Caenorhabditis elegans: one gene and its partner. The protein of the gene in region 1 purifies or fractionates together with the protein of each later gene. This does not show direct contact. Each region holds a gene or a part of one and is shown on either strand. Other genes may lie near its edges. The genes, in order: atad-3 and cri-3.

What was found.
Region 2: the proteins of atad-3 (region 1) and cri-3 fractionate together in Caenorhabditis elegans (co-fractionation; one large-scale study listed by BioGRID). This does not show direct contact.

Annotation. Positions count from the first base shown.
Region 1 is NC_003280.10:10,242,485-10,259,729, forward strand, and holds atad-3 (ATPase family AAA domain-containing protein 3), read left to right. Parts: upstream 1-6,506; coding exon 6,507-6,881; intron 6,882-6,927; coding exon 6,928-7,940; intron 7,941-7,987; coding exon 7,988-8,387; 3' UTR 8,388-8,680; downstream 8,681-17,245. Other genes in the region: mrps-14 (Small ribosomal subunit protein uS14m), read right to left, coding at 1-6; nrde-2 (Nuclear exosome regulator NRDE2), read right to left, coding at 325-439, 702-805, 855-1,432, 1,493-2,399, 2,472-2,978, 3,061-3,666, 3,712-3,876, 3,926-4,047 and 5 more; F54B3.1 (Protein SZT2), read left to right, coding at 8,810-8,868, 9,033-9,324, 9,509-9,679, 9,726-10,203, 10,792-11,331, 11,719-12,103, 12,671-13,231, 13,784-14,357 and 1 more. UniProt on the Caenorhabditis elegans protein: Essential for mitochondrial network organization, mitochondrial metabolism and cell growth at organism and cellular level. Important during development for the up-regulation of mitochondrial activity during the transition to higher larval stages.
Region 2 is NC_003281.10:3,386,755-3,402,749, forward strand, and holds cri-3 (Conserved regulator of innate immunity protein 3), read left to right. Parts: upstream 1-9,830; 5' UTR 9,831-9,835; coding exon 9,836-10,107; intron 10,108-10,157; coding exon 10,158-10,342; intron 10,343-10,392; coding exon 10,393-10,496; intron 10,497-10,545; coding exon 10,546-10,695; 3' UTR 10,696-10,873; downstream 10,874-15,995. Other genes in the region: E3 ubiquitin-protein ligase hecw-1, read right to left, coding at 159-583, 690-1,071, 1,781-1,993, 2,045-2,124; elmd-1 (ELMO domain-containing protein C56G7.3), read left to right, coding at 3,168-3,245, 3,870-4,466, 4,927-5,003, 5,344-5,471, 5,598-5,686; mlc-4 (Myosin regulatory light chain), read right to left, coding at 5,937-6,008, 6,463-6,810, 6,929-7,027; Protein clpf-1, read left to right, coding at 11,000-11,159, 11,577-11,774, 12,085-12,287, 12,339-12,490, 12,540-12,651, 12,705-12,788, 13,386-13,652, 13,714-13,824; npp-9 (Nuclear Pore complex Protein), read right to left, coding at 14,237-14,353, 14,412-14,555, 14,816-15,713, 15,763-15,995.

The DNA of each region.
Region 1 (17,245 bases):
CAACATCTGTGCACATACATTGCAATACATATTTAATACAATTATTCATGCATGGAAGGAACTGGTTGGAGGAAGTGTAACCTCTTTCATGATGAAAGAAATATGACATTAAAACGAATATTTTCATTGTTGAAAACAAAAAATTTTTACCGAAACAAAAAATGCGAAAAGACAGAAGAATTATAATACAAAAATAAACATAATCTGTCGGATAGAAAGAACAAAAGAAAGAAAGATTCCTGGGATGAAATGAATACCGGTGGATAATTATATGGAATGGATTTTTAAAAAAGTTATAGGCCGAGTTACACAAAAAAGAGAGAATCAACGTCCGGATTCGGAATACTGTAGTCCAATTTCCTGCTGTGTTTTCATGTATTCCTCGTCGGTCACAAATAAACTATGCTCTTGTCCCATGCTTTGTTCGAGAATGAGGTAGCTGTAAATAGTGTTATTTAGAATGCATTGGCATGTGTGCTGATTATAATTGCATAGCGTTTTAATAAAATTTATTCGCTTTGTATTGTATTGTTGTATATAGACTAGACTAGAAATCGAAAAAAAATAATACGATTTAAATTAATTATACTTCGATAATTTGAACATTGTAATAAAATCAATCTTAGTTGATTATTTTCAAAAATCGGGCACAACAAATTACATTTTTGAACTGAAACTTTGCTCTCAATAATTGAACTTACATCATCTCCATTAGATCTCCATTCTTGCGGACAGTTTTTGCTTCAATATAATCAAAGTGCAAATTGAGAGCCCATGTACATTGACCTCTTGCACGAGTGTAAGCCTGTAAGAAATTTAAATTTCACATACAACCTTTTTTCCTGAAAACTCACATCGTCCTTTAGAATCTTCTGTGACAATTTACTGGCAACTCTTATAACTTGTCTCCAGATAGCCGGATCACGTGTATTAGCTGCTTCTCGTTTCCAATTTTTATAGAGGATTTGATTTCCGGCGTCTCCAATCCGGTTGGCTGCATTCATCCAAGAGAACATAATAGTCAACGAGTTCATGAGAAGACGAGTTTCAAGTTCTGGATCAAATTGCTGATCTCGTTTCGCATTCAAAATACTATTTCTGCTGTCGGTGAATCCTTGAAGCTTCATCACTTGCAGACGACCGCTGGAATGCAGCTCGCCGAGCATCTTCGCATATTTCGAATCACATGGGAACGCTTGCGATGCTTGGAAGATCAACTTTTTGAAGTTTTCATTGTAGATGAAACGGTGTTTTTTGTGCGAAAAGAAGGTTATGAGAGTGTCCGTGATGAATTTCAAATCGATCTGATCACAGTATTTTTCATAAGTTCCACGATTGAAATCATTTTTCTTGGCTTCAAATTGCTCGAATTTGGTGATCGCGTTGGCAATGAGGCAGTCGACTGCACGCCTGCTGAATGCCATCTTGTCCACTGAAATTTAATAAAATAATCAATTAATTTTTACAAAGACTCAAAGACTATAAAACTCACAGAAAACAAATACCGCCACAACTTTCAAAGCTTCGCACAGTGCCTCAGCTCTTGGTAATTCTGGTATACTGTCGACCGATTCAAGATTGTCCTTCTCCTTGCAATGCTCCAGCAATTCGTTCAATCCTTGATCCAATGCCAATAAGAGAGCTTCATCACTTTCAAATTCCGAAGTGTGAATTCCAAGAATCTCTTTACAGAAAACATCTCGAGTCTCTTCTAAAGCATTTTGATTTAGAATAGAAAGTCTTCCACGTAGAACATTGGCATAAAGATGTAATTGAAGCGTTGGCAATGAAGAATCAGCGCTCTGAATGAGCTTTTCTGTTGATTTGGGGATAGCTATATCAATCATATCCCTAATCTTATCACGAATTGTTTGCACTCGTTCTTTGTCTTTCTTTAACAATATGACATCGAATTTAACATCATCTACGACGCCTTCCTCCATCTTGATCTCTTTATAATTCTTCCTTCTCTCGTCAGCTTCCACTACTTTTTCCTGTTCTTTCAGTGCACGCTCCCACCAAGACACAAACTTTTCCATGTAGACAATTCCTGTGATCTTACTCAGCATGGCACGCTTGAAAATGTCTGGATGTTTAGTGATGAATGTTCCAACCAAGTTTTTAAGATTCAGTTTAAAACTGTGGAAATTCAATTTCTTCTCCTGTTCCGAAGCTTCGGTGACGAGCATTGCCAGCAAGTACTTCACCATAGTCTTATCCAAGTATTCAGGATTGTTTTCGGTCAGTTTGAGTCGATTGTAAAGCATAAACTTCAGAATATTATTTCCAACTTCAAAGCACTTTTTCTCGGTATAAGTCGGAGTTTTGTAGAAGTTAACAGTAGAATCATTAGAAATCCAATCAGAAATGATTTGTTCGGTTGTTGTGAAGCAGTTCGTCTGGAAAAAAAAAGTATTTTTACAATTCCTCAAAATTAATTTCAAGCATAATATTAGTTGAAATTTGCTTACCGAATTTAAAAATTTGACGCCGAGCAACTCCAAAAAAGGTTGTACAAAATCGAAATTAGCACAATCGCCTGGTGCTTCATAATATCGAATTCTATCAAAAGGAATGATGTCCCAGAGTTCACATGTCTCTAAGTCGTCCACATGATCTTCATAAAGTTCACAATCTTTCAGTTTCGTCCGTTTCACGCGAGCATCGATGTTCATCATTTCTCGTTCAACTTCGATCCACGAAATCTGCACGTCCCGTTGAGCTTGAAGACACGTCGCTATTGTTTCCTCGGTGCGTGAAATAAGAATATCAAAATCATCATTTTCCAATTTCTGAATATCTTCATCAGATAATTCTTCCGATTGTTTAAGCATCTTCTCTGCACCAACAGCACCTTCGTCGCCGATTCGCGGAAGACCAGATTCCCAGAATTCCTCCAATCTGACTTCCCGTTCTTTTGAATTAGTGCTCGTCCGCTTTTCAACATCAGCGAGTCCAAAATTGTATTCAAAAGTGGCCTGAAATAAGTAAAATCTTGAAAAAAAAAGTGATTTAATACTCACAAAACCAAAGGTTTCTTAGTATTTCCTAAAATCTCACCTGTATGTTTGCCAGTACCACTGGCGTGTGTGCACAGGAAATCATCCACTTCAAATAACGAATATAAATCCATAAATGGAACATTCTAAGCAATGGTCTATCGTTAACAGCATTCAAATGTGAAAGAAGTGTTCCATTTGTCAATCCAGTCACTTGTCGGATACAATCTTCGAATGCATTCTTCAATTTTTTGTAATTGTACACATTGCTATCATATTGTATATAGTCCAAATACTTGATCCATACCATTGGTTCATGTGGAAATGTGATGGTAAGATTTTTGAAGTCATCAATAATAGTAGGAGAGTTGGGATCCATTTTGATGAGTAATTCAATTTTCATCAATCGAAGTTTTGCATTTCTACCGTCGGCTTTAATGGCTTTTTTCACCATTTCCTGGTGACGTTCGGCAAGAGCTGCTGGATTTGAACTGGAGAAACTTCCAACATTCCGACGACACATTTCTTCTTCCATTGAAATTACTTTGATTAGAGCATCAATGTTATGAACATTTTCGGAAAATGTTTTCTTCGCCTGTTCGAGCTCAAATGTGAACGCATCTTTTCGATTATCCGAATCGTTTGCTAGAACATCATCGTCAATGTGCTGAAATCTTGGTTTTCGGTTTCCGATATATTCAAAATAACTCACATCAAGATTTAATAAATCAACTCTGTCACGAATCTTCCAGTAACCGCCGACTGGAGGCACATATCGAAAGAATGTCTCTTTCGGAACATCCTTCAAGTATCTATCCAGCTGCTCCCAGAATGGGCGGTTTTCCTTGTCTCTGGCATATTCCGCTCCATAAATATTCTGAAAACTGGTTTTTTGAAAAGATTAAAAAATAAGTGCCAAAACATACGTTGAACAGAATATTGTTATGCTCCAAACCGACAATAAACTTGACACTCAATCGACACTTGGCAATTTCTTTCTTCGGAACTCCTTGCGTATAGTTTTCACAATCACTTTTAGTTTGAGTAACTGTAATTTTTTCTCGTTGGAACTTTTTAAATTAACAATAATTTGAAAATTGCGCAGTATTTGCCGGCTGGCGATAATATGAATATTTAATTTCTAAATATATTTTAACTTTGAATCGTAAATAAGCATTAACTTTATTGTGATATGATCACTTTTTTCGATGAAAAAACTTACTAAACGCAGATGAAATGTACGCATCGCACGTGCGATATTCTTCATCGGTGAGAAATGCATATTTTGCAGGTTTGTTCATTTTCATTAAAGTGTGAGATGACGTATCCCGAGCACGAGATGACCTATCCCGAGAACGAGATGAACTAGAGCTTCGGCTACTGGATCTTTTTCGTCTGCGTTCCTTCTTTCTTCTCTTCTTTTCACGACTCCTGCTGCGTTGCCTGCCATTATCCCGATCGTATCGGCGACTGTGAGATCTCGATGGACTCCTGCTGTTGCTTGCTGAACGTTTACGACTTGTGGATTGTTGACTTGTTTCTGGTGGATCTTGGCAACCATTTAAGCTTTTAACGGACGGAAATGTATTGTAAGCAGTTGCCTGAGCTGCTCGGGCCGCAATTTTCGCGTCTCTCCTGAAATTTTATATTATTTTCAAACTAGAAAAATTATTTACGCACAAGGCATTTTGCTTTTTCACCTCTGGGAGAGTGAAAACATCATCTGGATCAATGTACCTGTGGGGGCTCATTCTAATCTGAAAGCAAAAATAAGTTTAAAGTTTAAATGTCACTGGCCTCACCCGAACACCACCATTATCGTCATCACTATCAGATTCTCCAATTCCAACTTGCTGAAAAACAGAGTCATTCTGCACGGCGAGTTTCTGTTTTTCGTTTCTTTTTAGAGTGGTAGTCTGAAATAAATCGCATGAAAGATGAAAAAAAAAACTAAATATTTCTCACCGCTCGTTGTTGAACAGCAGCCCTTGTTTGCGTATAAAGATCTGGATTCTCACCAGAAATTCCTGGAAAAATGAATTTTGCATTTATAAAAATGAGATGAATTCGTAGAAAAAACTTACTTTCTGGATTTTTCAATCCATTATTTCCATACGCTCGAAACATTGTTCATTAAGTTTGGTATGATATTACCCTGAAAACAGCTTAATTCACAATTTGCATAATTGTTTTTTTAATGAAAGAAAGAAAGTTTTAAACAAAAAAAAAAAGGAAAAATGTGACTGTTCGAAAAGAAAAACAAAGGTGTGGGAGGCCCCACGAAAAGGGGAGCAGAACGAAAAGGGGATCTGCAAAAAGGGGAGATACGAAAAGGGGAGATACGAAAAGGGGAGCTGGCACTGTGCCAAACGCACAAAACGCAATTTTTCTCACGCAACGCACGTTGATTTTTGAAGTTTTCTTCTAGAAGATACGCTTAACAACACGCGACGCGTAACATCGGAGCCGATGCACCATGTTTCGGATCGGTATAGGTTCAAAAGTGGTAGAATTATATAATTTATTACTGATAAATCCGTTGAATGATAAAAATGAGAAAGCTCATATTTAACATGCGACCTGCCGGTCCGGGAGTAAAACGAAGAAGTGACGATTTCCTTGCGCGGTGTCGACGTGTTGGGGTTTGATGTGCATGTGTGGTAGTACTGTAACACTCGTGACGTGTGTGTCTTTTGGCGCGGCTTTCAAACAGGAGTTTCCCGGCTTTGTCGTTGTTGATGACTTCGGTGGATTGTCGTGAGCATTTAGAATACGGAAAGACTTCGTAATAATCATAATAATTCTTTAATATTTCCTTGACGCATTTCCTGGGTATTAATATCATTTCTCAGTCGTGATCGGCGGAACATCAGTATTCTGCGTATTCGCGACAATCGTTGTATCGTTTTCTTCGAGAAAAATAGCGTTTGGCACAGTGCCAGATCCCCTTTTCGTTGCTCCCCTTTTCGTATCTCCCCTTTCCGTATCTCCCCTTTTCGCAGATCCCCTTTTTGCAGATCCCCTTTTCGTTCTGCTCCCCTTTTCGTGGGGCCTCAGATGTGGCCTTTGAACGCTGGCGCACTTTACGATATCGAGAAATGCGTCAGAAAATGTCATTGGAGCATAATCTGCCTTAGCGATTTCTGTTTTTTTCCAACAATCTTAATTTAATTTTTTAAAGTTTATTTTTCAATGCAGAATGTGTTTCAAAAAATAGAAATTCGTGAATTATAACGACGGCAGGTCTTTTTTGACGGCAGGTCCTTTAAATTCAGGGAAAATGAGCCGGAAAATCTGTTTTGCATCATCTAATTTTACTGAAAAGGTTGCAACTCTGTTTTAATACTACGTTTTCTTCAAGGATTACACAAAGTCTCTCCGAATTTCATTCCTTTAAAGAAATTATTGTTTCATACTTTGGCATAAGTACATATATAAATCATTTCCTTTAATCAATATTCCTTAGAATATTTTTGCACCATCCCAAGCTTCAATCTATTCTTTCAGATGTCTTGGTTATTTGGTGTTCAAAAAAACGCTACTCCGCAGATTCCGGATGATTTTCAAGCAGGTGCTGCTCCTGGCGGTCCACAACAACCAGGTCAAGGCCAACGGCAAGAGGGAAACAGCAAAATGGCATATTCCTTCGACTCAACAGCTTTGGAGCGTGCCGCCAAGGCTGCTCGTGATCTAGAGAAATTTCCAAATGCCAAAGAAGCTCTTGAATTGTCGAGAATGCAAGAAGTTACACGCCAAAAAGAGGTCGAGAACGAGACCAAGAAGATCGAAGCTCAATTGGCCAATATGAAATCAGAGCACATTCGTGTTGCTGAAGAAGAACGGAGGAAGACTTTGGGAGAAGAGACTAAACATGCGCATTCGGTAATTTTTCCAAACATCTGAATACATAACAACTAAATAATTTCAGCGTGCTGAATATCAAGATCAATTGGCCAGAAAGAGAGCCGAAGAGGAGCTTGCCATGAAAGCTAGAATGCAGGAAGAAAGCCTCCGAAAACAAGAAGAGTCTGTCAAGAAGCAGGAACAACTTCGCAAGCAAACTATTGAGCATGAGTTAGCATTAAAACACAAATACGAGCTCGAGAAAATTGACGCAGAGACCAGAGCCAGGGCAAAGGCTGCTCGAGATAACAGAGATGTAAACTTAGAGCAAATGAAGCTTCACGAAGAAGAGAACCGAAAAACTGTCATTGAAAAAATTAAAACCAGTGGAGAACTTATCGGTTCTGGACTCAATCAATTTTTGAATGATAAAACGAAAATCGCTGCTGCAGTAGGAGGATTGACTGCTTTGGCTGTCGGCTGGTATACCGCTAAACGAGGAACTGGAGTCACCGCAAGATACATCGAATCTCGTCTCGGAAAACCAAGTCTTGTAAGAGAAACATCCAGAATCACTCCACTTGAAGTACTCAAACACCCAATTAAAAGTGTTCAAATGATGACTCGTCAGAAGAAGGATCCACTGAATGGAGTTGTATTACCACCTGCTTTGGAACGTCGTCTTCGTGATATTGCCATTACCACCTCAAACACAAAGAGAAATAATGGACTTTTCCGTAATGTAATGTTCTACGGACCACCAGGAACCGGAAAGACACTTTTCGCAAAGAGTTTGGCTCAACATTCCGGACTCGATTACGCAGTTCTCACTGGAGGAGATATTGCTCCACTTGGACGTGATGGAGTATCTGCAATTCATAAAGTATTCGACTGGGCTTCAAAAAGTCGCAAAGGGTTGATTGTTTTTATTGACGAAGCTGACGCTTTTTTGCAAAAGAGATCAAAGAATGGAATGTCTGAAGACACACGTGCAGCTCTCAACGCTTTCCTCTTCAGAACTGGAGAGCAGTCGAGAAAGTTCATGCTTGTCGTGGCTTCTAATCAGCCAGAGCAGTTCGATTGGGCAGTTAACGATCGGTAATCCTTTTTTTTAAATAAAAAACAGAATTTATTATTCTTTTCAGTTTCGATCAGCTTGTCGAATTCACACTGCCAGGAATGGAAGAACGTGAACGAATTCTTCTGCAATACTTCAACGAGCACATCGTCACTCCAGCAACTAGTGGATCTCGTTCTCAACGACTGAAACTCGATAACTTTGATTGGGTTGCTAAGTGTAATGAAGTTGCCAAAAAGACATCTGGAATGAGTGGAAGAGAATTGAGTAAACTTGTCATCGGATGGCAAGCTTCTGCATATGCATCTGAAACCGGAGTGCTCACCGAGGCTATCGTTGATCGTAATACTGCTGACGCAATGGTTCAACATGAACATAAGATGGAATGGCTTGAGAAGGAGCAATTGAAAGCTCGTAACCAAGAAGTCAAGTTCGGAACTACGTTGAAGAGAGAAACTGCTGTTTAATTTCAAAATATTCATTTCCTTGTTCATGATACTCTATTGTTTTCTATTTACGTTTTTTTGTTGTTTTTTCTTTTCTGAAATCTTCAAACTTCCGGTAATTTCGTAATTTCATTCTTAATCAGAAATTTTGCTGATAATATAATTTTTTTAGATAATTCAATTAGGCCCTTGTTTTTCTATTGTTTTTTTTCGTTTTCCCCTTATTTTCTAGGTCAGTCATTTTTATTTAGTTTTTGTGTAGTAATTTAAGTAGAGTGAAAGATTATTGTTTTTTTTTTGTTAATAAAGAAACTCTTCATTTTAATGTAATACTAACTAATAATCGCTTTTGTTGCACTTCAATTTTTCATATTTTGAAAGCTTCTGAAGAGAAAAAGCAAAAAAAATAATTTTCAGCCCAAATGTTCGATTAAAACGATCAAATGGATACTGAAACAAAAAACTTGCGGGAGGCCGGAGAGGTCTTTCTGTTTATGCACAGGTAAGAAGGAAAAAGCTGGCAATATATGGTTTTTTCAGAAAATAAGAAATCAATTGAAATTAAACGTTTATGAGCTTTTAGCCTAATATTTCCAGAAAAGCAACAATAAAAAGCTAGAAACCACAATTTTCAATATCAGAAATCCTGAAAAACAATAATTTCAGAATCTTCCGTGCATCCCGCAATCTTCGTGCACATTGGTACATTGATCATCTCGGAAAGGCCGTATCAATCGAAGAAGTTCCACAATGCTCATCATATAAACCATCAAAAGATCCAAAAGATGAGTACAGGCAAGAGATGACAGTCATCGGGATTGTACCAGCCGGAGGAGATGGTACAGAAGTCGTTGGAGACGAGCAATTCATTGTGACTGTCAGAACGAAATGCACATATATATCCAGATATTATCGAATTGTTTTTGTTCTTGATCTCAGTCCATCCGTTGTTATGGCGGTGAGTTGGTTTTGGCACGGCTGCGCTGCATTGTTCATCTGAAAATTCTACAAAATGAGCCTTGGTTTTTTGGTCCCAAAAACCAAAAAATCAATGTTTCGTCAAAATACCAAAAAAAAAAACAAATGAAAAACCTAACAAGTCCCAGCCCAGAGCAATTGTGCGAAATCACGTAATTTTTCAGGACGATGAATCCAACTGTTGCCTCGTTGATCGAATCATCCCAAGCCTTCGAAATGCTCTACGATCATCAGTAAAATCATTTGTCATACCCGGAACGAATCGAATTTTTCGTCCTCAAGTTCACACGTCCATCTGCTTGTTCACACCTTTTATGAAGTTTGAGGAGACTTTTGTACGTTCTTTTTTCCGCTTGCATCCGAATTCATAAATTATTTCAGACGTTATGCCAAGGAGTCTTCGTCACTGAATCAAATGTTGATATGGTAATTGAATCGGTTGAGATAAAGTTCGTCGACATCTACAAACGACTGTTCACCTTCTCCCGTCCGATTCTCGAAATGTGGGGAAAACTGAAACGTCGTCACAAGCACAATAAATTCGATTCACTTTGTGAGAGTGACTCGCAGAGTGAAGATTGCAGTCGAAAAGTACCATCAGCGGAAAATATTCACTTATCTGAATCTTCCGCAGCATCGACTTCACACAAAAATGATGGAGATGCAGACAGAGCAATGGATGGTGGGAATCTTATGTCAATACAACGTGGAATATGGTCTGCAACTGAACGTCATGAAGATCAGAAACAATTGTCATTTGCAAGTGATAAGAGTTATGTTGCACCGGATTGGTCGCTGATATTTATGCTTCGAATGGGTCTTTTACAGATTCAGATGCTCCCCGAAAATACTCAATCTAGTGAGTTATCAAGTCACAGGGCTGGGAACAAAAAAAATTAGATTTCCCAGAAATTGAAAAAAAAAAGTTTTTTCGATTTTCTGATATTCTGAAAAAAAAACAGATTTTACAGATAAGTGGAAAAACGAAAAAAAAATTCAATTTCACAAAAGAAAGGTTTTTAAAAAAATATTTTCGATTTTTCAAAAATTAGCTTCAAATTTTGGTTTTTTCTCAAATTATGAACAAAATTAGAATTAAAAAATCATATTTTATGATTCTTTTTTTTTTTTTGAATTACCGATATTCCGAAGAAAAATTGCGATTTTTCGAACAGCGGAAAAACTTTTTAAAAATTTCGATTTTACAAAAATTTGGACTTTTCTTTTGAAGATTTTCCAATTTTTGAAAATCGAGAAAAAAATCAAATCACAAAAATGGGTAAAAATATAGTTGTTTCGATTTTCCGATATTCCAAAGAAAAAAAAAGTGTCTTTCCATATTTAAAAAAATTGAACTTTAAAAAATTTGACTGAAAATTTATTCTAAAAATTGTAAAATTGAAAATTTGAGCTTTTTTTTCATTATACAACGAAAACTTAATTTCAGATCTGGTGATAATCTCTGATTCAGTCTGCGGTATGCCTGACGAAGAAGCTTTGCAAAATGTTCTCACCCAACTCCGCAGTTACACAGTTGCATTTTCGTTCATTCAATTACAAAAGAAAGCTTGTACAGAACCTGTATTCGGACATGTTGGATCATCATCTCTCTTTTATTTCATGACAATGGCAACATTTGGAACATATCTTCCACGTCAAATGCCACAACCACCAAAAGATCCATTAATTCTGAGTAGAACACAAGAGGGTCAATTAGTGATAAAACGAACTGTTGAACATGATGATATAATTGATGAGAGCAAAGAGAATATTAATCAATTTCATCGAGCATTAATTTGTTGGTCATTTCAAAATGGTTTGAATGACAATGATTATTTATTGGATACGTTTGCACAGATTAACAGCGATTTTTTGGAGCTCCAACAGAGTCATGTGGACCGACATCGAAGATTTGTTGCAGACTATCAGGCGACATTGAATCGTATGATGTATGTGAGATTGAGAGAAGGATTCACATTGAAATCTAGTAAGTTATTTATTTTTGTGAATATATTTATATTTCAAAACAGGGGTGAAAACTTCCGCAAATCGGCAAATTGTCGGAATTGAGATTTCCGGCAATTTGTGGTTTTGCACATCTTTTTGGAATGTTATTTCTCTTGAAAAAAAAATTTCCAAAAAGGCACAGGTTTAAGTGTATCCGTCTTATAAAAGAATCCCTCCAAAAACTTCCGCAAATTGATGGTCGGCAAATCGGCAATTTGCTGAAAATCCAAATTTCCGCCAAATCGGCAAACCGCCAATTTTCCAAAAATCAAAATTTCCGGCAAACCGTCAATTTGCCGAAAATCAAATTTAAAAAAAAACGTTTCAAAAAAATTAAAATTTATACTAAAATTTTCCATAATTTTAGCTGTATTCGTGAAGAACAATACCCAAGTAATCCTGACCCTCCGACTCGCTTTTCGACCACTTGTATTCATTGATTACATCATTACTTCGGCATGGCCAGTCAACAAGAATGTACATCAAGCAGTGAATGTGGAGTTGGTACTAGAAGGACCATATAATGAGTTGAAAGATCTTCTAACAGAAAGCAATTATCTCAATCCAATCCGAATGAATCTTATAAAATCTGTAATTGATGGAATCATCGACGCGGATCGTCTTCTTCTGCATATTCATTCATTTGATACAAAAATCGCATATTTCACTATACCACCCGGTGTCACCAAGGAGTATGCTTTATTTCAACAAGGAGATCGTTCACGACAAATTTTGCCGCAACTTTGTATAGTGTAAGTATTTTTGAAAATCGTTAATTTTCCGTTTTTTTCTATTAAAAAATGTATTTAACTTCTGAAAAACACCATAAAAATCATAATTTTCAGTTTTATTCCTGAAAAATACAAAACATCGAATTTTCAAAAACAAAAACCTGAAAACCTTTTTTTTCTGATTCTTAAAATAATACTTTTTTCTCTGAAAACACTTTTTTTTTTGAAAAATACCAAAAAATCTTAAAACATAACTTTTTATTATTTTTAACAACAAAAAGCCGAAAAACCGATTTTTTTAGAAATAAAACCGAACATTTTTCTCTGGTTTTTTATTTTCTGAAACTTTCTGAAAACCGGTTAAAAAATCGAAATGTAGTTTTTTTTTGTTGCAAAATACAAAAAAATTCAAAATTTCGAACAAAAATTAAGTCAAGATTTTTAGTTTTTTTTTGACAATACCGATTTTTTTTTCAATTTTCTTGGAAAAATTCCAGCAAAAAATTCCAGCATTACATTTTTAGAAAAATAAATTGAAAACAAAAATTCTAAATTCTTATAAATCTTCTAAAATTATCATGTTTTCAGCAAACCAGACGGTGTTAAAACTCGCGGATTCGTCAATTTTTGGAAGAAAATGCTCGAAGTTGACGATAGCAATTGGCAGAAATGGGTGCACACTCAAACGGAAAGAAGTCTGCTCAACCTGATCCACGTTCCATTTGAAATGTTTACAACCGAAAGAATTCTGAAATTTGACTGTCGTTATCCACTGAATGCTGTTCTTTATTCAATTAAAGTGCGTGCAACATTCTGTCTTGTTGAAAATCAAACATATGTTACACTGGTCTACGCTACACAAAATTCCAAAAAACCATCGTATTTCTTCATTCGAAAAGTGATTTGTAATGGTCCTGTGGCAATTATCAAGACAGCATTTCTCGGTGGAGTCACTTCAATAGAGAGAAGACGTGCTGTTGAAGCACAGAGACAACGATTGATAAATGTTACTTATGGAACTATTCTTGATGAGGCTGATTTAAAAAAAGAAGCGAGAAGATATCGATATGAAGCGAATGCTGCAAAGTTTTATATGGACCCAACCAAGATTTTTGACAAAAAGTCAGATCCAGCATGTACAGTGTTTCGGTGAGATTTTAGGATTAAAAAAGTTAATTTTTTAGCGATTTTTTTTTCGAAAAATTAAAATTTAAAAAAAAAACAAATTTTTTGTCGACAAATTCGGCAAATCAGCAAATTGCCAGAAATTTTCAATTCCGGCAATTTGCCGTTTTGCGGATTTGCTGGAAATGTTAATTTTCGGAAATTTTTCGATTGCTAATTTGCCGGAAATTTTTATTTTCGGCAAATTGTCGGTTTGCCGATTTGCCGGAAATTTGATTATCGACAAATTGCCGGTTTGCCGGAAATTTTGATTTTTGGCAAATTGCCGATTTACCGATTTGCCGGAAATTTCAATTCTTGCCATTTGCCGATAGGATGCGAACAATTTTGCTGATTAAAATTGAAATTTCCAAAAAAAATGTGCAAAACCACAATTTGCCGAAAATTTTCGCCAGTTGCCGTTTTTCTGGCAAATCGGAAATTTGCCGATTTTTTGCCGGAAAAAAATCGTCTGCCGCCCACCTGGTCCATATTCCGTCTTTAATAACTTAAATGTTTAATTCAAAAAATTTTCAGGCGTCCTCTGGAACGAATGGTTGTCCGTTACACTCACGTGCCCGCTGATCTCACAACAATCGTTCGAGCCGAAGAAAAAACCGATGATCCTGATGAAATTATGCTGTTAACACTTCATAATACACTTGCAAAAAGTCTGGCGTGTCGTCGTAGTGTCATTCTTCTCAACACCTTTCAACCAGGCGGTGCATTCATTGTTCGACTTCTCGCAGATTTCTGTCAAAATGTGCTCATGCACAAGAGAATGCATCAGGAGGGATTCCGACCGGCGTGGACTCAGAATAATGCTGTCTCGTTGCTCCGACAAATTTATGATTCATCCGGAGCATCACTGGAGCAGTTTATCATGTTTCCAGCGATTACGATTCAACCTAATATTATGAATAATCCGATTCTGAGAAGAAAATCAAAACATGAAATCGTCAAAAAGGATAAATTCGAAGATGATGATGATGAGATTTCCAAAAATGCGATACCATCGAGATCCGCTGTTGAGACTCTTGCAATTGTTTGTGAGATGTGGAATGAGCCTGAAGGAGGAAATCCAGATGATCAACTGGCGAATATGAGTGCGGTTAGTGACCTTTAGATGATAAAATTAGTGTATTAACTATCCGAACAATTCCTCTTTAGAATCTGAAAATTTAAAAATCGAAATTTTCAGGTTTTCCGAATGCTATAAAAGTTCTGGAAATACCAATTTTTTTTGCCCCAAAAAATTTCAATTATAATTTTTATTTGTTGGATTTTTTAACACCCAAAAGCAAAAAATTTACGTTTTTTTTTCTATAATTTTCCCAATAATTCAAAATTTGTGTACAAACAATTTTCAGGAACAACGACTCAACGAAGATCTTCGATTCATCTCAGTCCTCTTCACTCTCGACAAAATCCTCCGTCACAGTGGACAATGTAATGAAGTATTCCCGAGTGATGATAATTCCAAAGGTCTCTGTCAACCAGGAACTCCTGGAAGAATGTTTCCATATGAGGATAGCTGTAGATGTACTGATATCTATGAATTGACGGGTTTACCGAAGAAAACACCACCTTCCGATAATGACATGTTGACCTATAAAAAACTTCGCCCGAAGAGCAAACGAAGAACTGAGAAGCTCAAAAATGATGATGATCTGGAGAAGGAATGGGTACAGGAACAGAGAAGATGGATGGATGTTCCGAAGGAACCAACTCCTGGAATTTTTCCGATTCGATATATTCGAAAAAGGATAGAAGGTGATGACGAGGTTCTTGGTGAACTCGATGAGCCATATCCATATATTACTGAAGAAACAGTCAACACAACAATTTCTCCAGTGCCTACAGTAACCGATATTCACGCAGAAGCAGTTTCGAAGTTTGTGACAGTCTACGACAATTTGTTCAATATGACCAACTTAGTATATCATGCTCAAAGGAAATATCTACCACTTCCACATTTTGTTCTGGGACGAAATGATTCGGACATTCCACTTTGCAACAAACGTCAATTAAATGCACTTCATTGGCAACTCAGCAGGATTGCAGATCTTACATGGATTATTGATGACACGGAACATGATATTATTTGGGCAGATCTGGTGAAAACAGTGCCTGAGAAGGAAAGGCCTCCTCAAACAAAGCTAAGAGTCTACGTGAAAGCTTTAACTGCTCGAATGGCTGCGTTGATGTTTGCACCAGTCACTGATGCGTTTGATGTCAAATCTGAAATAATTCCAATGTTCCTTATGACTATTCATGAAACTCAAATTGCTCATTGTTACGCTCAAAATGCGTTCGATGGGAATGGAATCGTCAATGTTCCGATGTCAGATGTACCCGAGCGATGGGATTCTGGAGCAAGATTTGGATGGACTCCGAACAATCGAAATGTATTTCCAGAGGAAGCAACGACGTTTCCATCATTCTGCCGACATTTTGAAGAGGAGATTCTTCCACGTATTCGAATGAGAGCAATGTATGAAGCTGCACGTGAAGAAATTCCACTCAATGAAGAAAGTTTAATGGATATGTCCGGAGAGGTTGATTGTTTGGAATTCGAAATGTCGGAAATTCCAACTGCCTTGAGAAAAGTGTGTCAACATCTTGGAGGAGAACATCCACCACCGAAGGATACAATTTGCTGTGAAGGTTCCAATATTGCGTACATGTTCAGTAAAATGCTCTCAAAGAATTTCAAAAAAGTCGAAGGAACACAAAACATATTCTACCTGAATCCCGAATCTATGATTGAGCAGAAGACAAAGAAATCCAAGAAAAAACAAGGAAGGTCGAGCCGAACTCGAGGAAATAGTGGAATGATGTATGTAGATGGTACAGAATCAATTACATCTCTATCGGAAGCTGGAGACGAAAGATCGTTAGAAGGTGAACATAGTGGTGAATTTCTGGACGATGAGGAGAAAACAATAACTGACAACAGTTCTTCTGCCAGCTCTGAGGATTCCGATTCGGATGAATCTTCATCAACCGGATCGTCTTCCAGCTCAGACGATCCTAGACCAGGATCCCCGCCAAGTAGCGATTATTCCGATACGGAGAGCAGAACTAGAGCGGATAGTGCAACGCTAGGAGAGATTTACGAGGAATATACCGGAAATAATCAGCCAATGTTCATTCAGTTCAACTGTTCGGTGAATTTTGACGGAAGAAAAAAGACCGACACGTTTCCTATCAATTTTCTACCAACATGCATTCACGAGCTTCTCCCATTTATTGTTGGTGCCCCAACAGATCCTGAAGAGATTAAAAATGTGGAAATTGTCATGGAGCTATTGGTGTTGACGACTCAAAACTTGAGACCAACTATGGATGCAAATGAAATTAGTACAAGATTGTTGGGAATGGCTAAGAGTCGAGTCAGGAATCCATATGAATTTGAGAGGCATCGAAGAGAAAGTTACAAACGAGAAGAAGAAGAAGAAGATGAAGATCCCATATCTACAAGTGATGATGATGATGATGAGGATAAAGAAAAAAAGGATACTCTGTTCGATCTTCCACCTCAAGAACGAAAAGTTATGACAGATTTGGTGCGAAATGTTGGAGTTGTGCTGGAACTCGAGAAGATTCTTCTAGAATCTAGAGTCGAGAAAGTGGATAAGAAGCTTCTGGATAACGTGAAAAGTTATATTGACAATGCGTGTACTACATCTGGAAAAGTTGGACACGCTGAAACAAGAAGAAAGCCATTCATACTTGTCGATAACTCGAGGCAGAAAATAAGAAAATTCATGGATTTGTTGGATAATCGAGAGTGTGGATATTTGAAGATAGTACGGCTAGAGGATACAAATATGCTGTATTGTAGACGTATTAATAATCAAGAAATCTATGAATCCAGGAAAGCCAGCGAAGAAGATCCGGAAGATCTACAAGCTCCCAGGAACATTGGCCCATTGTCAGTTGCAGATTTCTGGATAATAATTTCAGTCGACTATAAGGATCATCAGATTAGTGTGC
Region 2 (15,995 bases), on another chromosome or scaffold:
TCTTGGAAACTAAGGGCCAGCTTTAATCCTATTTCAAGCAGATTGTTATTTGCTCAAGCATACCAACCAAGTTTGAGGGCCGCAGGCCCGAATACTCATGGAAACTAAGGGCCAGCTGTAATCCTATTCCAAGCAGATTGTTCTTCGCTGAAGCCTACCGGTTGAGGGCCGCAGGCCCGAAAACAATTAATATAGATCCAAAAATGATATAAACTTTAAATGGCCATAACTCAGTCAGTTTTGGTCGTAACGACCCCATTTTTTTTCGGGCACACCCATTACCCGAAGGGTTGGCGCGGCTCCGCCGCGCTACATACCATCTGGTATTAAGACTTCTATATGCATCATCTTGTACATCCAAATCTTTCAAAACTTCTTCTCGATTAAACATCATTTTCCCTTTCACTTCCAGCCACCACAACTTATCAGAGTCAGATCTCAGCCACTGTTTGATGAACGCGTTCAAGTCCTGCTCGGTTAGATTATTCTCGATGAGCATCGCAGTCTGAACGTCCAGATTCAATAGATCTTCCGATGTTATCCAGTCGGCATGTTGCAAGTAGATGTGATCCATTGTAAGAACCTGAAAATTAGAAAAATTTAAATGCGGGAGAGCGTATTTGCATTTTATTTTTCAAAATCTTGAAAATGTCTATTATATCTCGTAAACCATGCCCACAAAATGGTACCTGCTCAAATCTCCGTGCACAAAGTTTAATATCAAATTCTCCATTGGTTTTTTGAACCATTTTGGGCTCCAAAACATCCGCTCCAATATGAATATTCTTGATTTCCAAGTTATCACAAATCCAATCAAAACTCTGTGCAAAGTTCAACGTATTCCTCTCAACTCCGTAGTTGGTTTGAAAAATCGATAGGCGTTCGACTTTTTTGAATGCCACAAAATTTTCACAGATGGCTCTCGAATCCTCAATCACTCCCAAATCAATCGATAAATACGTGATTATTGAATTGGAACATTTGAAGATGGATATCATATATCGAATCACAACTAGCATCGCATTTTCCAGATCGTAGTGTTCAGTGTAGAATGCGGTGCCCGAAGTTTTGCTGAAATTTTGAGAAATTTTATAACTTTGTCCAGAGTAGAGATATCAAGTTATTATCAACTGACAAATTAATAGTCTTGATGAGATCTGCATTTTGTCTTTTGATAACTATTTCGTAACTCCACTACAAACATAGTTAAAGCAACCGACACCTCACAGGAGATAATTGAAATTTAAGGCCTGTGAGATGTCGGCCGCTATAACTTTGTCCAGAGTGGAGATATCAGGTTACGTCAATTGACAAAATGCTAACCTTATTTCGGTGCGTATTTTGTTTATTGCCACCTTTTGTCGAACTCCACTCTTCATAGAGTTACAGTGGCCGATACCTCATGAGTTGACTAGGCAACTGAGGCCTGTGAGATGTCGGCCGCTATAACTTTGTCCAGAGTAGAGATATCAGGTTAGTATCAACTGACAAATTGATAGTCTTGATGAGATCTGCATTTTGTTTCTTGACAACTTTTGTCTAACTCCACTCCAAACAAGATTAAAGCAACCGACACCTCACAGGGGATTTTTGAAAATTGAGACCAGTGAGATGTCGGCTGCTATAACTTTGTCCAGAGTCGAGATTTCATAATAGTGTCAATTGACAAAATTATAACCTTATTTAGGTGTGCATTTTGACTCTCGACACATTTTGCCTAACTCCAGTCTGACCAGAGTTTGAGCGCCCGACACCTCATGGGTTGACAATTAGTACTCACCACTGAAATTTAAAATGCCCAATCTTATAAACCCCGACATCAGTGTATTCCAGACCATCAGGAATTCCAAAAACCCATTCCAGTTGACTACTCTCTCCAATCAATTTAATCTTCGGGTATTGAGAGTCAAAATTGACAAAAATTGATTTAACAGGAATACTCGCAATTCCAAGAGAACGTTTGATTTGATTAGAGGAAAATGATAACTGGAATCTGCAAATTTTCGGGGGGTTTTTCGGGTTTTTTTTTCTGAAAATTTCTTACATTTCTTTCAAGGTCAAGTGTTTATAGATCTCATTCAGGCAGACATATCCCAGATGGTGAAATGGGAACTCGTCTCCCATAGTATCTGAAATAAACATTTGGCTTGATCTCCAGGAATCGCAGGATTTTGGAAAAAATACATGACGTCACGTCATCGCAAATCTGCCGCGAGTTTTGTAGATCATACTTCATATGGAATATATGATTTTCCATTTTTCAAAAAATTTTGAAATCCCGGAAAAATAGTGACATAGACGTGAATAAAGAGATGGCGTGGCAATACTAGGAAATCGATTAAAACTGCACGTATTATATTTGTTTTTTTTCTCTTTTTCTCTTCAGCTCTCAGCATCTCTCTCTCTATCGCTATACGTATCACTATGGTAACAAAGAGGCTTTTCCTATTTTCTTTCTTGCTATTTTCTTAACTTTCGCTTAGCTTTTGGCTTTATAGTTTACAGAAAATCGATTTTTTTCAAATTTCTTGATTTTCTATGCAGAAATTGGTTTAGTAATTCGAAACCTCGTCCGATAAATGATTTATAAGTGAACGTATACTAGAAATTGTATATGTCCACGAGAAAGTGCGTTATTAAACGCGCGGGTCTTGCCACGATCGAAACTTTAGCAGCTACCGTACTCGCGCGTACGGTGGTTTTTAAATTTCATCGATTCACAACACTTTAGCAACGAAATGCCTGCGTCTTCTCTAGGCCACTTTTTTGCAATGTTTCCGCCGCCCGGTTAGCTCAGTCGGTAGAGCACCAGACTCTTAATCTGGTTGTCGCGGGTTCGAGCCCCGCATTGGGCTTATGTTTTTTATTTTTTTTAAATAAACACAACTCAACGTTTTATTCGTCCACCACCACTCCTTTACTCTAAACCCCAGCTGTCAGTTTCTACTGGAAGAGGGGTAACATGTACTTAGACTCCAACTACAAAACGTCCTGCGTCTCTCTTCTCTTTTGGTTCATTTTCTCAGCACTCTCTCATCCCAACACACCCTCTCGCACAACACGCCAGTCATTTAGAAACACGCTTTACATCAACTTCATGTACTTTTCACTTTACATCGAATTTTATGTTCTGAAAATTGATTAATTTAAACTTAAAAATTACCAGGATGGAAGCAGAGCCGTTGGAAACGGAGCAAGATGAATGGCGAAAAGAAAGAATGCGAGTTTTGGACGAGTGGTGTGAGGTACGTATTTTTAAAATTATTTTTCAAAAGTGTTTCACGTTTTTAATAGATTTTCTAAAGTTTAATTTTAATTTTTAAATTTTAAATACGAAAAATCATAGAAATTTTAATGTTTCGCTTAAAAATCGATATCAGCGAAAGCTTTTGAATATTTTTTGAGTTTTTGCGAAACAAATTTTTCCCAAAAAAATTCTAGAATTTTGTAAATAAACCAAGAAACAAATAAATCAATTTATCCTACTGTAACCTTAAAGGCGCATGCACTGAAAATGTGGATGGGTCTAACAGCGAAAAATTAATTTTTGACGAATATTGTGTATGCGCCTTTAAATTTACAGTAGGAAAATTAGAGATTAAATTTTTTGAAAGTTTAATTTCAAAAAACTAAAAAAAACTTTTAAACACTCGAATTTTCGTACTGTAAACTTAAAGGCGCATACACAGAAAATGTGGATGGGTATCACAGTGGAAAATGTATTTTATACAAACATTGTGTATGCGCCTTTAAATTTACTGTAGGAAAATTAGAAAATAAATTTTTAGAAGCCTGATGGCAGAAAAAAAGAAAAAAACTAGAATTTCCTTGAAATCTGGAGATTTTTTTGTGAAATTTAAATTTTCCAGATCGAGCTAAAAGGCGCAGACGCTCTCAAAATGGATGTAACCCGTGAGCCAGGCTCCCCCACAGTTGCCGTCGCCCCAGAAACTTCTCTTCAAGACCTCTACCCCCTTCTAATTGCCACGTCATCGTCCAACGCACCACCAAGTGCCACGCCCACCGATGACGTCACAGATCCAGAAGTACAAGTAGTTTCCCGGGAATCAATCGATAATCGATCAACATTCAATCGGATAATTGACGTTTGTCTGTGCAGGCCTGTAAAATCACAAATGGGCCCGAAAGCCTATACGGATAAAACGCTAATTTTAAAACTCGCTCAAATACCCTATGATCATGAAAACGGAACACACTGGCTTCTCCTCTCGGACTACTTTAACAATGTTTCAAGATCCCTGATGACGTCATCAGAATACTCTCACGTCACTAATCCGTCACGTGTTGGCGCGCATTGGGTTACTGTAGGCTTTCAGTCGGCGACACCGCACACGGATTTTCGAGGTTGCGGAGTTCTTGGCCTACTTCAAATGCACACTTTTACGCAGAGAGTACCGGCGAATTTACTTCGAGCAATTGTACTTCTTGCCACTACTGAACCGAATGTTAGTTTTTTATTGGGATTTTTGAAAAAAGTTGTAATAGAGCGCGCTTGCAATTTTGACAGTTTCAATTCGGAAAATTTGCAATTTTTATCAAAAATACGGTGTCCGGTCTCGAAACGACGAATTTGTGTTAAATGAGAAATGGTGTGCGCCTTTAAATAGTACTATAGTTTCAAACTTTTGTTTCAGCAGAATTTTCGCGAATTTTATGTGTTTTTATTGTTACATTTGAGTTTTTTCAATAAAGAATTTTTTATTATCGAAAAACTATTTAAAAAAACGATTAAAATTTTGCAGTAACGAAAGTTTGAAACTACAGTACTTTTTAAAGGCGGACACCCTTTCGTATTTAACAAAAAATTGTCGTGTCGAGACCAGATACCGTATTTTTGGCAAAAAAATGTTTCAATGCAATCGCGCTCCGTGCACTTTTTTAAAAAACCAATAGAAAATTTTCCAGGATTTCCCACTTGCCGTTGTTTCAATCAATATTACGAGTATTTTATTAACACAACTGAAGAAAGGAGCTCTTGATAAGTAAGTCTGCGCAAAGGGCGCTTGCTGACGCGTTTCTCGTGCCACTTGGTTTTTTTTGAAAAGAAAAAAAAACAGCACACAAGAAACATGGCATTTTCCTAAAAGTTTGAAAAAAAATTGTTTAAAAGATATTATACCAAAAATTCACAGAACTGGCAAAAACTTATTTTAATTTTTGTTTTCAGAAATTTTGAAAAAAAAACGTTTCTCCTAGAATTTTGGCAGAAAATTTTTTTTTTTCAACTAAAATTCGCATTTTTTCAAATTATTTTCCAAAAAAACACCAAAAAATTCAAATCTCGCGCCACTTGGCACATTTCTCAATAGAGCACATTTACAGCTTTGGCAACGAAATCGAAGGACTCTATCCATTCTTTTCTGCTCTCCATGCATCTGCAATGTGCCGATTTTGCTCAATTTATAAGTCACAAAAGTGTACACTTGCCAACACTCAAACTATTTTCAGTGGTTAGTAAACTTTTTTTTTTCGAAAATTGGGCAATTTTCTATGGCCAAAATCCCGGCAAATCGGCAAATTGCCGGTTTGCCGATTTGCCGGAAATTACAATCCTGAAAATGTTCAATTTTTTGCAGAAATAACCCGCCAACTCGAAAAATCTCCATTATCCCTGATAATGCTTCTAAATCCGACGAATGACGAGCTCATCAATACCCTCCTGTGATGATTGAAACTTCCCGAGAAACGAATCTGTGAAAAAATCCTTAAAGATTATAGCTTTAAATTACAATAAAAATCAACCGTTTTCGAGTTTATTTATGCACATGGTATTGGGGGAAGTGGAATACAACAATAAATAGATGGTGTGAAAAAAAGCATGAATGATAATAATTATTTGAGGCGAAAAAGAAAGCGTGTGTAAGCGAACTGAATCTTGAAAAACTCGAGAATTTTGTGTGAGTTTGCGAGCCAGTTTAAGCCTCATCCTTGTCCTTGGTTCCGTGTTTGAGCATACGAGTGAACTCCACGTAGTCGAATTGTCCGCCCTGAGAAAAAAAAAATTGAAAATTGGCTTATTTTTCAGGAAAAAATAAATATTTTAGGGTTTTAGGATTTAAAAAAAACTATTTTGCATTGGAAAATTTGGTAAAAATATGTGTTTTTTTTATAGAAAATTGTGTCGATTTACGCAGATCGTGTACTCCCCGTGGAGAAGTTTGCACTTTTTTCTGTTGAAAAAACAAGTAATTTCAACATCGATTTTTTTCCTTCAAAATCTACAATAAAAAGCGAAAATTATCGCAATTTTTTGCAAAATAAAGAAGCAAAAACTTCTTCACTAGGAGTACACGACCGGCGTAAATCGACACCAAATTTTCCGGCTGATAAATCGAAAATCTCTGAATTTTCCACGATTTTAAGAGGTCCAAAATCAAGCTTTTCGAGCCAGAAACTCCTGTTTCCCTTCTTTTTTTCGTTCCGAAGTTACAGCGATTATACCTTAATCGGAGCATCTCTAAAGAGCTCATCAACCTGTTCCTCGGAATATCTCTCGCCCATCGTGGTGAGCAACTCGCGAAGATGCTCCTCATTGAGTTTTCCCGAATTATCCTCATCGAAGCATTGGAACGCATTCCGTATGACTTCCTCCGGATCCGTTCCAGTCAATTTTTCACCGAAAAGTGTCAGGAACATTGTGAAATTGATCGGCTGTGCTCCGGGAGCCTCGTTAATCATCGAATCGATGAATTGTTCGGTGACTTCTTTTCCAAGGGAAGCGAACATATCCTTCAGATCCTCTTGATCGATGAATCCATCGCGGTTTTGGTCGATCATGTTGAATGCCTCCTGAAATTGAATTTATTTTAATTGTTCTTTAAAAATTCCGCTGAAACCAATGGATTTTTCGTCTTTTTAAATTTTTATTTTTTCGAAAAAAAAAACGAAAAATGAGGCTGTCACCTACTTTGAACTCTTGAATTTGAGCCTGATCGAACATGGCGAACACATTGGAAGTGGCTCTTTGTGGCCGTTGACGGCGGTTTACGGTTTTGCGGGAGGCCATGGCTTACTGCAAAAATTTGAAAATTTGCGATTTTTGAGGAAAAAATAAGGTCTCGACACGACAAATTTATGTTAAATACTAAAAGGTGAGCGCCTTTAAAGAGTACTGTAGTTTTACTAATTGGATTTTTTTTCTCGAAAAATCAATGAAAATTCGGGAATACAGTACTTTGAATTTAATGAAAATTTGTCGTGTCGAGACCTTTTTTTGATGCAAAAAACGTCTAGACTCCTCGAGGAAAAGAGGAAAAAAGTTTCCGTTGTTTTTTTGTGAGAATTTCAATTTTTGGCCGAAATTTTGATAATTTTTGCAAACTAATATTGTTTTTAGCATTGAAATCGCTAATTTATCGTTTATTAGCAGTATTTTTGAAACGAAAATTGATATTCTCTCAAAAAACGATGAAATATGAAGATGGTAGAAACCAAAAAAATGTGAAAAAAAACTGAAAAGATGCGGGGCGTGGAAAATATTATTTGATAACGAAAAAGCGGTGAGTCACCGCCGCAAAAAATGTTTTGTTTCAGTTTTTTTGTTTCCTATTACGATTGGAAGCGAGGTTTTCGAAGGAAATATTGATTCTCAGCGTTTGTCGCCTTGGAAAGGGGATTTGAACCGAAATATGACACATTTTTGAGGGAAATGACCGAGAAACGGAGAAAAGATTAGAATCTAATAGGCGGAGGGCATATTTAGGATGTCAAATGAGGAAAAACGGAGCGTAAATTATTTAAAATTTGCACTTTTTCGTTTTTCGGCAAAAAAAACAAGGAAAATCAGTTTAAAAGTTCCGGAATTTTTTTGCAAAACTTGGAAAAATCATCAATTATTTTCAATTAATGTTAATGTCAGGGGTGGGCGGCAAATTGGCGGAATTGAAATTTCCGGCAAATCAGCAAATTGCCTATATGGAAATTTCCCGCAAATCGGCAAATTGGCGGAATTGAAATTTCCGGCAAATCAGCAAATTGCCGGAGTTCAAAATTTCCGGAAAATCGGCAAATTGCCGGTATTAAAATTTCTGGCAAATCGGCGAACTGCCGGAAAAACGACAGGTGCCGAAAATTTTCGGCAAAATGTGGTTTTGCACCTTTTTTTGGAAATTTCAGAATTTCAATTTAAATCGGCAAAATTGTACGCACCCTATGAATGTTCCTACGTCTATTTTGAAAAATAAGCAACTTCTATGAAAATTTCTTTAAAAAGCGGGATATAAATTCCAAAAAGGCAGTTTTAAGTGGTTCCGTCTTATAAAAAGTGCCTCTACACATTTCCGGCAAATCGGCAAACCGGCAATTTGGCGATTTGCCGAACAGCACTTGCCGCCCACCCAATTCCCGGTATAAAAATGTAGATTGTTTAATATTTTCCCCCGGCCAAAATTCACATTAAATGCGACGAAATGCAATTTTTTTTTCCTCAAAACTGTAGCAGAAAATGGAGAATTCTCTCCGGAAAGCAGAAAAAACGTTATGAAGTGATTCACATGACTGGCAAACATAACATAAACGGAAAAGAGCGGAAAAACAATCGATATTCTTCGGAACGACGGGAGAAGCAGTGAAGAGAGTGAAGAGACGGAGAGAAGACAGTTCCCATTCGTTGTGTATTTATACGGAGACAGTTCCTTTCGAATGTGTGTGAAAGGACATTGGAATGAGGAGGTATATATGATGACTTGCCGATAAACAAGATATTCCGACGGAATACGGAATACGATTTAATTTCTGGGAGGTTTTGGGAACGGAATTTGGGGTCTAAACACTATGAAATACCGAAAAAATGGTTTTTTAAATTTGAAAGTACGCCAGTTTTTGCCCTAAATGACAGAAAAAATCCTCACTATACAGGACATTACTGCTGAAAAATTAATAAAGATTTCCTGAATTTTGTTTGATTTTTTAATTTTTCCAACAAAAAACCGAATAATTTTTGAATTCCCGCGCAAATAAATGTTTTCTAGATCGGTTTTTCTAGATTTTTCATTATTATTTGATTTAAAACATGATTTTTCGAATTTTAAAGAGTTTTTCCGTTTAAAAAACGCTATGACCTCGAAATAAATACACTGAAGCTTCAAAAATTCCGAAAAATGCCAGAAAACAAGTTTTCTAGACGAAAAAACTTCTGAAAAACTGAAAATTAATGAAAAATCGAGAAAAACCAACGATTTTAGCCAGAAACACGAAATTCGAAAATTCAAAAGTATAAAAATATTCCTTAAAATCGATAATCTCCTAGTTTAATCAATAATCTTCAAAAAATTCTAAACATAAATTTCGCAATGCTGCTTTTTCAAATGACTCATGACTCATCGCGCCAGCTGCGCAGCTCTATTCCATGTTTTTACAACAAAAAATCGATTTTTCTGGCAATTTTCAGTTTTATTATATAATTTTAAGCCCAATAGTCAATAATTTCAAAGAAAACGCACTTTAAAATCATTTTAAACAAGAAAAAATCGATTTAAAATGAGAAAATATGGCTGAAAAACGTTTGAACACAATTCCAAAGCGCGCCAAGTTAAAGGCGCATGCCATTTTGCGGCGAAGATATCTTGCCACGAAAGGCTCTATTTGAATTATTTTCGTCGGCTTTTCGCATATTCTCTCGCTTTTTCTTCGGTTCTGCACGCTTCCACTGATTTTTTCGAGGTTTTTCATTGAAATTATTGATTTTTGACAACTAAATTAGCCTAAAATCAATTAGAAACGCTTTATAACCTGATAATCTTGATTTTTAGCTCGATAAAAACTTGCATCATTTTTGGAAAATGTAATTTTCTATTTTTTTCTTCTTTCAGGTAAAATGAACACTGCTTCCCTTGTTCGCTCCCTGTCCCGAGTGGCTCTCCGTTCATCCCAGGTCGTCAGAATGGCCGCTCCACGCCATTTCTCACAATCGGCCAAGGTTCTGTCAGTAACGCCAGAACTTCAACAGGCCCTGAACCGTGAGATCGAAGCCGAGCAACAGCTGAGCAGCGACAATCTTCAAGGAGCCGTTGCGCCGACATTTGCTGGCTTCCAAGTCACCAATAAGGACGCCGAAGTTAGGCTGACCAAGAAGAATGGAAGCGAAGAGTTCGTTTTTTTCAGAATTTTTCATAGTTCTAAAGTTAATTTTTTTAAAGCATTCTCGTCGTCTTCAATGTGAACCACTCTGTCGATATGGACGAAGGATTCGACGATGAGCCATCCCAGGCCGTCGCTCCAGTTCCAGTAGCCATGCCACCATTCACCGTCGAGATTACCAAGGGAGATCAGAGACTTTGCTTCCATCTCGAGCTTGTGCCAGTTGACGATCAACCTGATGAGTGTAATACTCGATTTTATCGAAAACTCGAATAAAATATATACTATTTATAGATGATTTCCGCGTCGAAGAGTTCTACGTCGCCCCATCTGCCAAGAATGGAAACGAGGACGTACCATCCGAGGTGTACGCTAGCAGTGGAAAATATATCGATCCAGTTAGTAGTCCCAAGAGGACCGCAAATTATTGATTTTTTCTAATTCCAGGACCTCCACGATCTCCTGTTCGTTCGTTATTTGGAAGAACGCGGTCTCGATGCTCGGTTCTGCAAGACTCTCGTCGCCTATGCCACTCACTACGAGCACTCTCAATACGTTGGACTTCTCGACAAGATCAAGAAGTTCATCTCCAAATAGATTGCTTTCTGAAATTTTTTCAATTGTTTTGTTTTTTCTGTCTTTTATAACTTTACTGTTGACGTTTTTAGGTAATCTAAATAAGTAGCACATTTTCTTTCAGCTCGTTTATTTTCCTTAGTTTTTTGTTCTGTTTTGAGGTTTCTCTCCTCCAAAAATAATAAACCCATTGTTTTTTTCTTCTTTTGTAGTTTTCCGCATCCCAAATTTTTTGTAAATTAACTATGTCTTTGCTTTATCTAATTCCGCGTTTTTTCCTGAAAATTAAAAAATCAATAAAGCCTCATTTTCAGATTCCAAAGAAATGAGCGAGGAGAATGTTCAAGAGTTCGTTTTGAAAGAGGACTGTGAGCTGAGATTTGCCGCCGGAGACGATTCGGATGTCTGTCTGGAGCTCGTCAAGGGATACGCTGAAATTTTTGGCACAGAACTGCTGTTAAATAAGAAATATACATTTCCAGCCAGTAAGTTTTCCTCGAAATCTGGATTTTTTTTCAACTTTTCAAAAACTCCCGTTTTCTGGCTATATTTATTGCTCTTTCTCCGTTTTTTTTCTGTAATATTTCGCTTGAAACACTGTTTTCCTAATGTTTCCGCAGAAAAAGCACAAATTTCTGTGAAATTATCGACTTTTAGGTCAATTTCCAAGTTTTAGCGTGTTTCTTTGCGGTTAAAGTAGAGAAATTCGCTGAAACTTCATCTTGAAACTTGGCCTAAAAATCGATAATTTCAGATGTAATCATTTGTTTTATGCGGAAAAGTCTGGAAAACAGTGTTTTAAATCAAATATCACAGAAAAAAATTGAGAAACACCAATGGATTTGGCCATAAAAGTCAATTTCGGCCCATTTTCTGCCATTTAAAACCCAATTTTTCCTCAGAATCTCGTGTGGCGGCGTTCACGTGGAAAGGCGCCACAATTGAGCTCGTCGGCACAACCGAGAGCGCATACGTTGCCGAGAGCACTCCGATGGTCATTTATCTGAATATTCACGCAGCTATGGAAGAAGTTCGGAAGAAGAGAGAGGAACAGGCGGCTGGAAACTCGAATAAGGCAAAAGGACCGAGATTGCTGTTGGGTGAGCTGATTCTAGGCTTTTTTTGGAGATTTTTCGTCGAAAAACTGAAAATTTCTGTGGTTTCTGCAGGAAAATCGAGTAAAAATCATTTGAAATACTGGAAAAATCAATATTTTCAAGGGGCGGGGGCTATTTGCAAGCCTGGCACGGTTGTTTTGCAACCGTGCCGCACGGCCCGCCCACCTTTTTATTTTATTTTTTTTCGGAATTTAAGTAATTTATTTTTATGTTTGGCTTCGAAAAATGTAGAAAAAACCTTGTTTTCCGGTTTTTTACTGATTTTTAACCCAAAAAATAATTAATTTTCCAGTTGGACCAACGGACGTCGGAAAAACCACAGTCTCCCGTATTCTGTGCAACTATTCGGTTCGCCAAGGACGTACCCCGATATTTGTGGAGCTCGATGTCGGTCAGAACAGCGTTTCGGTGCCCGGAACAGTTGCAGCTGTTCTTGTACAAAAAACAGCCGACGTCATTGATGGATTCGAGAGAAATCAGCCGATTGTCTTTAATGTAGGCTTTAAATTTATCAAATAATTCACAATTTTTCCCAATTTTTTCCAGTTTGGGCACACTTCTCCGTCGGCAAATCTATCTCTCTACGAAGCATTGTTCAAAGAGATGGCAACTACACTAAATGCACAAATTCAGGAGAATGATGAAGCCAAAATCGGCGGAATGATCATTAACACCTGTGGATGGGTTGATGGGGAAGGGTTTGTCGTTTTTTTCGCTGAAAATCTGTTTAAAATAGCTCAATTTCAGATACAAATGCATTGTAAAAGCGGCATCGGCATTTGAAGTCGACGTGGTTATTGTGCTCGATCACGAGAGGCTCTACAGTGATTTGAGTAAAGAATTGCCGGAATTCGTCAGAGTATGTCGCGAAAATCCTTGTTTTTTGTTTGAAAGTTAATCATTCATTTACAGCTCACACATGTTCCAAAATCCGGTGGAGTTGAACAACGAACCGGGCAAATTCGTTCGAAAATGCGCGGAGAAAACGTTCATCGGGTAGGTTTTGTCCTCAAAATTCGAAAAATAAAGTTTTTCCAAAAAAATCTTTGATTTGCACTAGAGACATCGACAAAAATCAGCTTTTCAGAGCTGAAATATTCGAAAAATGAATATAAATTGAAGGGGCGGAGCTTATTTGCAAGCCTGGAACGGTTTTTCCGCAGCCCTGCCGCACGTGCTAAAAGGCTCCGCTCTATGAAATTTTTTGCAGTTTTTGAGTGATTTTGACAAGTTTTCTGTATTTTTTGTCTATTTTCTATTGGAAAACATTTGATTTAATCGGAAAAATATATATATTTGAATTTTTGAGCTGAAAAATTAATTTTCTTCACGAAAATATTGTCCCTGGGCCTTTCAGGCATTTTTTTTCTAAAAATAAAACATTTCCAAAGAATTCTGTATTTTATGGTCTAGAAATTCGAGTAAAACTGGCTTTAGAGCTTAAATATTCGAAAAATTATTATTTGAGGGGGCGGGACTTATTTGTCTGACACGGTTTTTCCGCAACCCTACCGCACTTGCGGGTTTTTTCTTTTTTTTGGTTTTTCAGTGTTTTAAAGCCTAACTTGTTAAGAAAAAACTTTTTTTTTGCAGTATTTCTACGGAACCCGTGCCAACAATCTCTACCCATTCACATTTGACGTCAGCTTCGATGACGTCACTCTTTGTAAAATCGGAGCCGAGCAACTGCCCGATTCATGTCTACCATTCGGAATGGAAGTTGAAAATCATGAGACAAAGCTGGTTATCATGGAGCCCAGTGCCGACATTAAACATCATTTGTTCGCGTTCTCGCGGAGCACGAAAGCCGACGAAAATGTGCTGAAATCGCCGGTTTTTGGATTTTGTCTTGTCACGGAGGTTGGTATTTCGTCGAGTTTTTGGGTCTCGAACGGAAATTTCAATTTTATCCAAATTTCAGGTTGATTTGGAGAAGCGAACAATGTCAATTCTCTGCCCACAGCGTACAATTCCATCGAAAGTTCTCGTCTTCTCAGATATCACCCATCTTGATGATCAAATAAAACGATAATTTATTTCTTTTTTTTCCTAATCCCTATTTATTTGTTTCCCGCCCTCAAAATAAATCTCATTCTTCAATGCATTCACAATTTATTGGATTGTCACCAGTGGGGAAAAATCGATGCCGGGACAATGTGAACAATATAGTTAAGTTTTAAAGACAAAAATTATGAATGATAGTGTGTGGGGGGTACTTATGAGAACAATGGGATTTTGAGAGAGATGGGGGGGAAATAAGGAAATTATTTTTTTAAAAACCTTACCAGACAAATATAAACTACACTTAAAGGACTATAGATGACAGCAGATGGGGATGAATAAAACTAGGTTCATAAATAAAATTGGTGGTGGGGAATACTAACACAGAGTGCTGGGTGGGGAGGAATAACAATAATAAAATAATTTAAATAATCAGCAGAGGATTACATCTTCGATTGAGCATCCTGAACAGCCGTCTTGAATGCTCCGGCGGTCGCCTCGTCCTTGAATTTGGCGGTGAAGATGGCTGGATCAGCGTTGGAGGCGTCTTCTGAGAAGTCCTGAAAAATAAGGAATTTATAGTACATTTTTATATAAAAAGAAATTAAAAATTGCTACCTGGCACATAAATGTGAGCACATTTGGCAAGTTTGGCTTCGGACTGAGCTTCATCGACTTTTCGATACGGAAATTGGCACAGAGCTTATGGACTTGCTCACGACGCATCACGATTCGATATTTGTTGTCATTGCTTTTCAGGAGCTGAAATAATAAATTATTTTTCTCAAATTTAGCCTCTATGAGTCAAAAATCAGTTGTTTTCTTAATAGTTTTCATTAAAATTTAGTGAAAAAACATAGAAAATACTTGCAAAACAGTTGAAAAGTGCGCAAAACTAGCACTTTTCTTAACTGTTTCAACTGAAATAAGTTATTTTCTACGTTTTATCACTAAATTTTAATGAAAACTATCAAAAGAACATGCCAAGCTGGCTCATTTTGATATAAAATCCTAAATCTGACCTTAATATCTCCGAGTCCACGTTCCTTATTCTCCTTGAGATCCGAATAGTACTTATAAAGCTTGCATCTGGCGGAGAACATGACCTCCTCGTCCTCTTCACCAGTTTTCACCTCAACCAAATCCGGAAGAGGAATAACTGGCTTAAACTCGACTTCTGGCTCATACTCCCCATCTCCATCCTCATTCGTCTCATCACCATCGTGTGAAGTTGCAGAAGTCGTGTTCAACGTGGTGTTCTTGCTCCCGAAAATGCTTGCCTTCTTCTGAGCAGCAAGTTCTTCTTGGGCCTTCTTGACATTTGCTGCGTCGAAAATGGAGCCAGATTTGGCAGAGTTGGCTGAAAGGGCAGCGAATGTTGCACCTCCAGACGTGAATCCACTACCGAACACGGATTTTGGCGTCTCGGACTGTTTATTTTCTTCTTGTTTAGCTGGTGCAGTCGTTGATGGAGTCTGTTGCTTTCCGAATGAGAAAGTTGGCTTTGGGAAGGCACTTTCAGAATTCTTGGCGAACATAAACGACGGAGTAGTAGTTGAAGAAGCTGTAGATTCAGTCTTGGAGAGTCCACCTCCGAACAATGAATTTCCTGGAGTCGTAGAGGTTGCCGGAGAAGCAGTTGAAGCTGCAGGATTGTTGAAATTGAACGATGGGGTAGTTGCATTGACAGCGGCAGCTGGCTTGTTGAATGAGAAAGTTGGAGTATTAGCAGCACCTCCACCGAAAACGCTTGTTCCCTTTGGTGTTCCACCACCGAAAATGCTACTGCTAGTGCTTGGAGATCCGCTGAGTGATCCACCGAACTGAGATGTTTGAGCAAGAGGTTCCTTGGCTGGAGCAGATGCTCCGAATCCGAATGTCACTTTTGGAGTTCCTGGGGCAGGCTGGAGGATCGAAGGTCTGCAAATTTAAATTTTTAATTTTAAGATAACTCAAATAGAATATTTACTTAGAGAATATATTTTTCTCTTTGACAGATCCGTCTTTCGATGTCCCACAACAGGCACATTCAATCTCGTCAGCTTTGCAAGTAACATAGCATCCAGGGCATTCCCAAGATCCTGGTTTTGGCTTGAACTGATCTCCAAATCCAGTCTCTTCCGGTTTGTTGTTTGATGGAATCACAACTTCTTGCTTGACTTCCTTCTTCACCTCAGCCGCCGGCTTGATTTCCTTGTCGAT